Linked DNA regions of Oryctolagus cuniculus. The protein of the gene in region 2 purifies or fractionates together with the protein of the main gene of each other region. This does not show direct contact. Links are inferred from orthologs where the notes say so. Each region holds a gene or a part of one and is shown on either strand. Other genes may lie near its edges.

What was found.
Region 1: the proteins of MED19 (region 2) and POLR2D purify together in Homo sapiens (affinity purification with mass spectrometry; 4 studies listed by BioGRID and IntAct, with this or other methods). This does not show direct contact. The link is inferred for Oryctolagus cuniculus from reciprocal best matches to the Homo sapiens genes MED19 and POLR2D.

Annotation. Positions count from the first base shown.
Region 1 is NC_091434.1:121,247,752-121,251,886, forward strand, and holds the start of POLR2D (DNA-directed RNA polymerase II subunit RPB4), read left to right. Parts: upstream 1-1,325; 5' UTR 1,326-1,414; coding exon 1,415-1,487; intron 1,488-4,135. UniProt on the Homo sapiens protein: Core component of RNA polymerase II (Pol II), a DNA-dependent RNA polymerase which synthesizes mRNA precursors and many functional non-coding RNAs using the four ribonucleoside triphosphates as substrates.
Region 2 is NC_091432.1:14,445,519-14,449,609, reverse strand, and holds the end of MED19 (mediator of RNA polymerase II transcription subunit 19), read right to left. Parts: intron 2,182-4,091; coding exon 1,925-2,181; intron 1,786-1,924; coding exon 1,689-1,785; intron 1,119-1,688; coding exon 1,024-1,118; intron 892-1,023; coding exon 823-891; 3' UTR 511-822; downstream 1-510. UniProt on the Homo sapiens protein: Component of the Mediator complex, a coactivator involved in the regulated transcription of nearly all RNA polymerase II-dependent genes.

The DNA.
Region 1 (4,135 bases), on a different chromosome or scaffold from region 2:
CAAGTCCCTGGGCCCCTGCACCCACGGGGGAGACCCGGAAGAAGCTCCTGGCTTCAGATTGGTGCAGCTCCAGCTGTTGTGGCCATCTGGGGAGTGATCCAGTGGATGGATGAGCTCTCTCTCTCTGTATCTCTGCCTTTTGAATAAATAATTTTTTTTAAAGTAATACAGAGAGAAACAGAGTTACACACAGAGAGAAGGAGAGGCAGAGAGAGACTTGGGCCATCTTCTACTTCTTTCCCAGGCCATAGCAGAGAGCTGGATTGGAAGTAGATCGGCTGAGACTCAAACAGGCGGCGGCCCTACCCGCTACACCACAGCAACGGCCCCTCAAATAAATCTTAAAAAAAAAATGAATTCATAATAAAGATACCATAACTAGATAAAATAAATTCTTCTTTTTTTTTTTTTTTTTTTTTTGACAGGCAGAGTGGACAGTGAGAGTGAGAGAGACAGAGAGAAAGTTCTTCCTTTTTACCGTTGGTTCACCCTCCAATGGCCGCCACGGCCGGCGTGCTATGGCCAGCGCATCGCGCTGATCCGAAGCCAGGAGCCAGGTGCCTCTCCTGGTCTGCCATGCGGGTGCAGGGCCCAAGCACTTGGGCCATCCTCCACTGCACTCCCTGGCCACAGCAGAGGGCTGGCCTGGAAGAGGAGAACCCGGGGGGCCAGATAAAATAAATTCATAAAACACAAAACGGGCCGGCGCCGCGGCTCACTAGGCTAATCCTCCGCCTTGCAGCGCCGGCACCCCGGGTTCTAGTCCCGGTCAGGGCACCGGATTCTGTCCCGGCTGCCCCTCTCTGCCCAGCTCTCTGCTGGCACCTGGCTCCTGGCTTCGGATCAACTCCAGCCGTAGCGGCCATAAATGGGGTGAACCAACGGAAGGAAGACCTTTCTCTCTCTCTCTCTCACTGTCCACTCTGCCTGTCAAAAAAAAAAAAAAAAAAAAAAAAAAAAGCCCACAAAAGCATGGTCTCTCATTGGCATAATTTTCCAGGAACCATCCTAATGTCCCCATAGGTGGGTTAAAGGCCTCTGGACATCACTGTCCACACTCTCAAAAAGAGTAGATAATTCACTGCAAGGCAGTCAAATGTTTGACTGCTAACATCATTGGAAGAAATCCTACCGTAGGCTTTCGGGGTCATCTGCCCAGCTTTCCATGACCCGCCAGTCCCTGCATGAGTAGTCCCTTAGCGTGCCAGCGCATTCCACCTTTTCTCGGTCCAGAAAGACCCAGTAACCCCGCGGAAAACCAAAGCAGAGCCAGGGCCGCTTCTTCCGGGGCCCCGCCCCGCCCCGCCCCATCTCCTAGCCCCGCCCCGGGTCCCGCCCCATCGTGGCCAGGCTAGCGGCTCGCGGCTCGGCGCTTCCGCTTCCGGTGCTGTCTGTGGCGGCGCGCGAGACAGCTATGGCGGCCGGTGGCGTTGATCCGCGGGCTGGCGACGTCGAGGAGGACGCTTCACAGCTCATCTTTCCCAAAGGTGAGGTGAGGTGATGCGGGGCTATCTCTAATCATCGGTCGCTTCTCGCTGAATTCCTGGCCTCAGCGGACGGCCGGGGTCCATCCCGGCGCGGCGTGGAGCTGGGGGAAGGGGGACCCTGGCCCTGGAAGGATCCTGGTCGGGCACCGGCGGACCCTGGCGTCGCGGCTTCCACGCTCCCATCCCTGGAATGCTCGGCGCCCACTGGCATTTGCCCCTGCCGGGCCTCCTGCTGCCTGTGTTAGGTGCACTAGTGTCTTTTACCCGGGAACAGACTGCCATCTGCTGCCTCGCAGGGTGCATACCAGCAGGAAGCTGGAATCAGCAGTGGAGCCAGAACCAAATCCAATATTGGATGCTGCACGGGACTTGGGTTTCCCAAAGTAGCATCTGAACCACGGTACCTTCGTTTTGTACTAGAGAGAAAAATGTATGGTGTAAGAAGACCACTCAAGGGGCTGCGCCGTGGCTCACTTGGTTAATCCTCTGCTGCGGCGCCGGCATCCATATGGGCACTGGGTTCTAGTCTCGGTTGCTCCTCTTCCAGTTCAGCTCTCTGCTGTGGCCCGGGAAGGCAGTGGAGGATGGCCCAGGTGATTGGGCCCTGCACCCGCGTCGGACACCAGGAAGAAGCACCTGGCTTCGGTCGGCGCAGCTCCAGCCGTGGCAGCCATTTAGGGGGTGAACCAACGGAAGGAAGACCTTTCTCTCTCTCTCACTCTGTCTCACTCTTATCTGTCAAATAAATTAAAAAAAAAAAAAAAAGACCACTTAAACAAGCCACTCGTAAACCATTAATGACTGTAGTGCAGGAACCTCAAGAGAATTTCCAGGTGACTTACTGACCAAAGAATCATTTTAAGTTATTTGTGACCGCCATTTTTAAAATAGCTGCACTGGGGCAACATGTAGGTCCCTGATTTCACCTAGAAAATAATGAGTTTAGCCTTAGGGAGAAATATTGAAGCCTTCCTCTCCATAGTGTTTTCTTTTTTTAGATTTATTTGTTTACTTGACAGAGTGAGAATGAGAGCAGGAGGGAGAGAGAGAGATCAGAATCGCTCTTTCATCCACTGGTTCACTCCCCAGAAGGTCATCATGGCTGGGGCTGGGTCAGGTTGAAGCCAGGAACCAGGAACCCTATCTGGTCTCCCACGTGGATGGCAGGGGGCCAGTCTGTTGAAGTAGAATCCTGGAAATGTTTCTCAGGGGCTTGGTGGTATCACACACTCTTTGCCTAAGCCACTCCAATCAGCCAGTTTGGCTTTTTCTTTCTCTTTTCTTTTGTTTGGGGGGGTGGGGTGGGGTGTATGTTGTGGAAAGGCAGAGAGACAGCTGCCATCCACTGATTGGTTCCCCAGATGCCCACAGTGGCAGAGCTGGGCTGGGTCACCAAGAGCTGGGACTGCAATAAAGGTCTCCCACATGGGCGGGAGGGACCCAACTGCTTGAACCATCAGTTCTGCCTCCCAGGGTCTGCGTTAGCAGGAAGTTATAAATCTGCAGCTGGAACCTGAACCCAGGTCCAGGTGTGCTCATGTGGGATGAAGGCATCTTCCCTGCTAGGGCAAACACATGCCCTTTCCTTGACTGAAGAAAGTGAGGGTAGTGTGTAAGTAGTACTTGGGCATTGCCTTAGTGAGGAATGGGAATGAATGACTAGTCTCTGCTGTCCTGACATTCCATTCCCATTACTTTTGTTGTTAAATTAATTTATTTGGGAGCTGGCGCTGTGGGGCAGTGGGTTAATGCCCTGGCCTGAAGCATCGGCATCCCATATGGGCGCCGGTTCGAGACCTGGCTTCTCCACATTCCATCCAGCTCTCTGCTATGGCCTGGGAAAACAGTGGGAAAACATGGCCCAGGTCCTTGTGCCCTGTGCCCATGTGGGAGACCGGGGAGAAGCTCCTGGTTCTTGGCTTTGGATCGGCACAGCTCCGGCTGTTGCAGCCATCTGGGGAGTGAACCAGCGGATGGAAGACCTCTCTCTCTCTCTTCTCTCTCTGCCTCTCTTCTCTCTGTGTAACTCTGACTTTCAATTAAAATAAAAATCTTTAAAAAAATTAATTTATTTGAAAAGCAGAGTGACAGAGACAGGAGAGACATCTTGTGTTCCCTGTCCTCCCCCAGATGGCTGCAACAGCCAGAGCTGGGCCAGGCTAAAGCCAGGAGCCAAGAACTCCATCCGTGTCTCCCGTGTGGGTGGCACGAATTCAAATAGTTGAGCCATCACCCAGGTGCATTAGCAGGGAGCTGGCTTGGAAGTGGAGTAGCTGGCAGTCTGATTTGGGATGCTGGCTCCAAGCAATGGCTTAGTCTGCTGTGCTGCAAGTGCCAACCCTATCCCATTGCATTCACAAATAGATGTGGCTTAGTGCAGAAGCAGAGGCTTCTCTAACTTTGTTTGATTTCCATTTATTTTTTAATGAAAATTTATTTATTTATTTGAAAGGCAAAGTTAGAGTGTGAGATCTTCCATCCACTGGTTTATTTCCCAGATGGCCGCAATGGCCGGAGCTGGGCCAGTCTGAAGCCAGGAGCTTCTTCCAGGTCTCCCATGTGGGTTCAGGGGCCCAAGGACTTTGGCCATCCTCTGCTGTTTTTCTCAGGCCATTCTCAGGGAGCTGGATCAGAAGCAGGAGCAGCTG
Region 2 (4,091 bases):
TAGGCTGCCCTTTTTGCTGTCTTGGGAGCTTATCAGCCAAACTGTGTTATCTAAGGAATGAGGCAGGCCAAAGGATTTTATAAAGATAAAAGAAACATTTACCTTTGCTTGCCAGAGGTTCATTTCAAAACATTATAGTTTTCTGACCAAAGAGTCAATCTGGTTGAAGTATACTAAAGAAGATGGTGATTGTAGGTGCTTTTTCAGTTGACTATTCTGTTTCAACCCAAACTTGACCTAGAATCTGTTGAGGTTTAAATGGATCAGCTCTTCAGAGTGGAGCCTGAAGACCATCCAGGCACTTTGTTCCTGACATTATGGGGAGAGTATAATGAAGCTGTGCCTCTTTTGGACCATGTTTCTCAGTCATTTTGGTTGTTTCCCTGCCTGCCAATGAGATAATGCAAGGACGACTCAAATCCCCTTAAAGCTTAGGAATGACTTGTCTTAACCACTGACTTCCATAGAAAGGCACTTACCTCCCTTAACAGACAGCCACACTTGAGCCAGTTTGATAAATGCAGGTATTTTTTTTTTTAAAGAAAAACTTAACAGGTCAAGTTCTGATATTAAACAAATTGCACAAAACAGAAGAAATAGCTTCCTGGGAGAGGAAGAGATGTCCATGAGAAAGCCAACTAGGCTGAGCCTTATAAAAGGATGGCCCTTCCCTCTTCTAATGTATTCATCGCAACCAAGCAGAGCAGGAGTTGGCCTCTGCCTTGGCTGCTGGGTATTCCCAAGGCATTGGCCAAGAGCCGGGAAGGCAGCTTCTGTTAGAAGTTCAGTAGGAAAAGCCATCCTGGTAGAGTCCAGTGGTTGTCAGCGAAGGCTGCTGCTGCTGCTGGCCTGAGAGCTGCCCATACCCGGGTGGTCTGGACTGTGTCGGCTCTGGAGAAGATAAAGGAGGAGGGTAAGAACAACTAGCAACTTGCCCTGAGTTTTCACTCTTGGGTCCAGTTTGAGGCAAAGGACAGGGTGAGATATGGGGAAAAGGGCTGCAGCAACAGGCTCTACCCCTACCTTCTTTTTCTTCTTCTCTTTCTTCTTCCTTTTCCGGTCAGGATCCTCTTCTTTTTTCTTTTTCTTCTTCTTATGATCCGAATCAGATGGTGTTTCTGTAGGAAGCATTAGGGCCTGTTACCTATAATGCTCAAAATTCTCTACTTTGTGAATTTGGAAGACTACAGGACACCAAATTGGGCAAATTTTTTTTTTCTTTTTAGATTTTTAAAAGTTTATTGAAAGGCAAAGTTAGAGAGAAACAGCTCTTCCATCTGCTAGTTCACTCCCCAAACAGCCACAATGGCCAGGACTGGGCCAGGGCAAAGCCAGCCCAGAGTGTCTTCCGGGTCTCCCACACGAGTGCAGAGGCCCAAGGACTTGGCCATCTTCCACGGCCTTCCCAGATGCACTAGCAGGGAGCTGGATAGGTAGTGGAGGAGCCAGGTCTCAGCCCAGTGCCCATATGGGGTGCTGGCATCACAGGCAGGTGCCCAACTGTGTTTCTCTAAATGGCTCTGCTGCCAGAACCCCTGTCCTAAGTCCCTACTTGCCAAAGAGATCAAAGTACATTGTGGAAACTTGGGCATCCAGGGCTGTGTGAGGAATTCACTGGGTTCAACTGTGCAAAGTTGCACCAAATTCAGAAGGTCAGGTTTTCTTGTTTTAACAGGGCTGCTGCTTACCTGGGGGGACAGGATCCTGGGTCCGACTCTGTTTGTGCTTGTGCTTCTTGTTCTTCTTGGGAGGCTGAATATGCATCAGGCGACACTGTTCTGGCAACTGAAGGAAGCAAAGGAAGGTCTGGGTGAGTGGAGAAGGAAATCCTTTGCTCAGTAAGGTACAAGGGAGCAGATGTGGAGAGAGAAAACTCCCTGCCCTCGGCTTCCCCATTTGCTGCCTCTCTCAAGAGGGCACTCACCGGGCCGGTGTGGAGGCGGAAGCCAGCCAGCATGGTCCCTGTGATGGGATTGAAAGAGCCACCAAGAATAGGGGGCTTCTCGATAAGGGAGCGGAGGCTGCTGTTGTCGTGAGAGCCGGGAAGATCGATCATCCCCGGCAGGTCGGGCAGGAAGTTGCTTAGCTTCTCCTTCACCTTCTTGCCACAGAATTTGTTATAGGCTTGTTCCAGGTTGTAGTGTGTGATGAGATTGGTGCTGCCTGTCAGCTCCGTGCTGCCTAGAGAACACAGAGAAACATTAGTCCTAAAAGAGGAGTTTACAGTCACTGACCCAGAAGAAAAGTAAAGGACTATACGAACTGTGACCCAAATAAGGATGCTTTTAAGTGAGAATCATGAAATGTTGAGCTTATATTTTTTTCTCAACCAGAAGAACTGCTGATTTCATTTCCAGACTGCACTTCCCTCAAGAACAACCATTCTCATGATTTTTACCACTTTTCCCAGTTTTGACTTTGACAGAAAAAGCTTATGTTTAAGAAACAGCAAAAGTAAACAGTAACATATAAACACTAGAAGTGCAGTACTACAGAACAACAGGCACGGGAAGGAGAAAGGGCAGAAACCTAAACAGGGCAGACATGGAGGCATTCTGCTCTTCTTGGATGAGCCAGAATGATAATTTACATGGCCTGCATGCTCAACACTGTTCTCTGCTTTTCATAAAGTGTAAGTGAGAAATACTCTCTGATGTTGTGACCAGGAGAGGCCCTCACAGGTCAGCTGGGACCACAGCAAGGGCCATCTGACTCTCTGACTCAGGGGATTGAGGGTCTTTGTCAAGAACTTTGCTTTTCTTTTTTTTTTTTTTTTGGACAGGCAGTTAGTGAGAGAGAGAGAGAGAGAGACAAAGGTCTTCCTTTCCCATTGGTTCACCCCCCCAAATGGCTGCTACGGCCAGCATGCTGCGCTGATTTGAAGCCCAGAGCCAGGTGCTTCCTCTGGGTCTCCCATGTGGGTGCAGGGCCCAAGCACTTGGGCCATCCTCCACTGCCCTCCCAGGCCACAGCAGAGAGCTGGACTGGAAGAGGAGCAACCAGGACTAGAATCCGGTGCCCCAACTGGGACTAGAACCCTGTGCGCCGGCGCCGCAGGCGGAGGATTAGCCAAGTGAGCAGTGGCGCTGGCCTTTTTTTTTTTTTTTTTTAAAGATTTATTTTGGGGTCACCGCCTGCAGTGCCATCATCCCATATCGGCACTGGTTCGAGTCCCAGCTGCTCCACTTCCAATCCAGTGCTTTTCTAGGGCCTGGGAAAGCAGTGGAAGATGGCTCAAATCCTTGGGCCCCTGCACTTGTGTGGTAGACCTGGAAGCTCCTGGCTCCTGATCAGCGGAGCTCTGACTGTTGCAGGCACTTGGGGAGTGAGCCAGTAGATGATGGAAGACCTCTCTCTCTCTCTCTGCCTCTCCTTCGCTCTTTGTGTAACTCTTTAAAATCTTATTTGAAAAGATGGAATTGCAGAGAGAGGTCTTCCTTCAGCTGATTCACTCCCTAAATGGCCGCAATGGCAGGAGTTGAGCTGATCCAAAGCCAGGAGCTTCCACTGGTTCTCCCACATGGGGCAGGGGCCCAAGGAGCTGGGCCATTTCCCACTGCTTTCCCAGGCCATGGCAGAGAGCTGGATCAGAAGTGGAACAGCCAAGACTTGAACGGGCACCCTTATGGGATGCCAGCACTGCAGGTGGTAGCTTTACCCACTATGCCACAGTGTCAGCCCCTGTTTTTTCTCTTTAACAATCAAAAAACACTCATCATAGTTATATAGAAAAACAGCAAGGAGATTTTTCTAGCTACTGTTGCTTAACTTTGGTTACCAACATCTTTATTCTCCCTAATGTTACTGAGTATAATGCTTTGCAGACAAAGAAGAAATCTGTAGTTAGAAATTGGCTGGACAACTAGAATTCTAGTGCTGTTCTCCATGCCTTAGTTTCTTGTTATCTGTGGAATGCAATAATAGCTATCTTAAGTAAACTTCATTTTTTTTTCAAGATTTAAATGAAAACATACTGAAAAGTATAAATAATCTAAATTTATGGTAAGGGTGAAAATATCTAACCCACAACTTCATCTGTAATTATGATGGACACCCAGGGTACCATGAGCAAAATGATAACTGGGAAAACT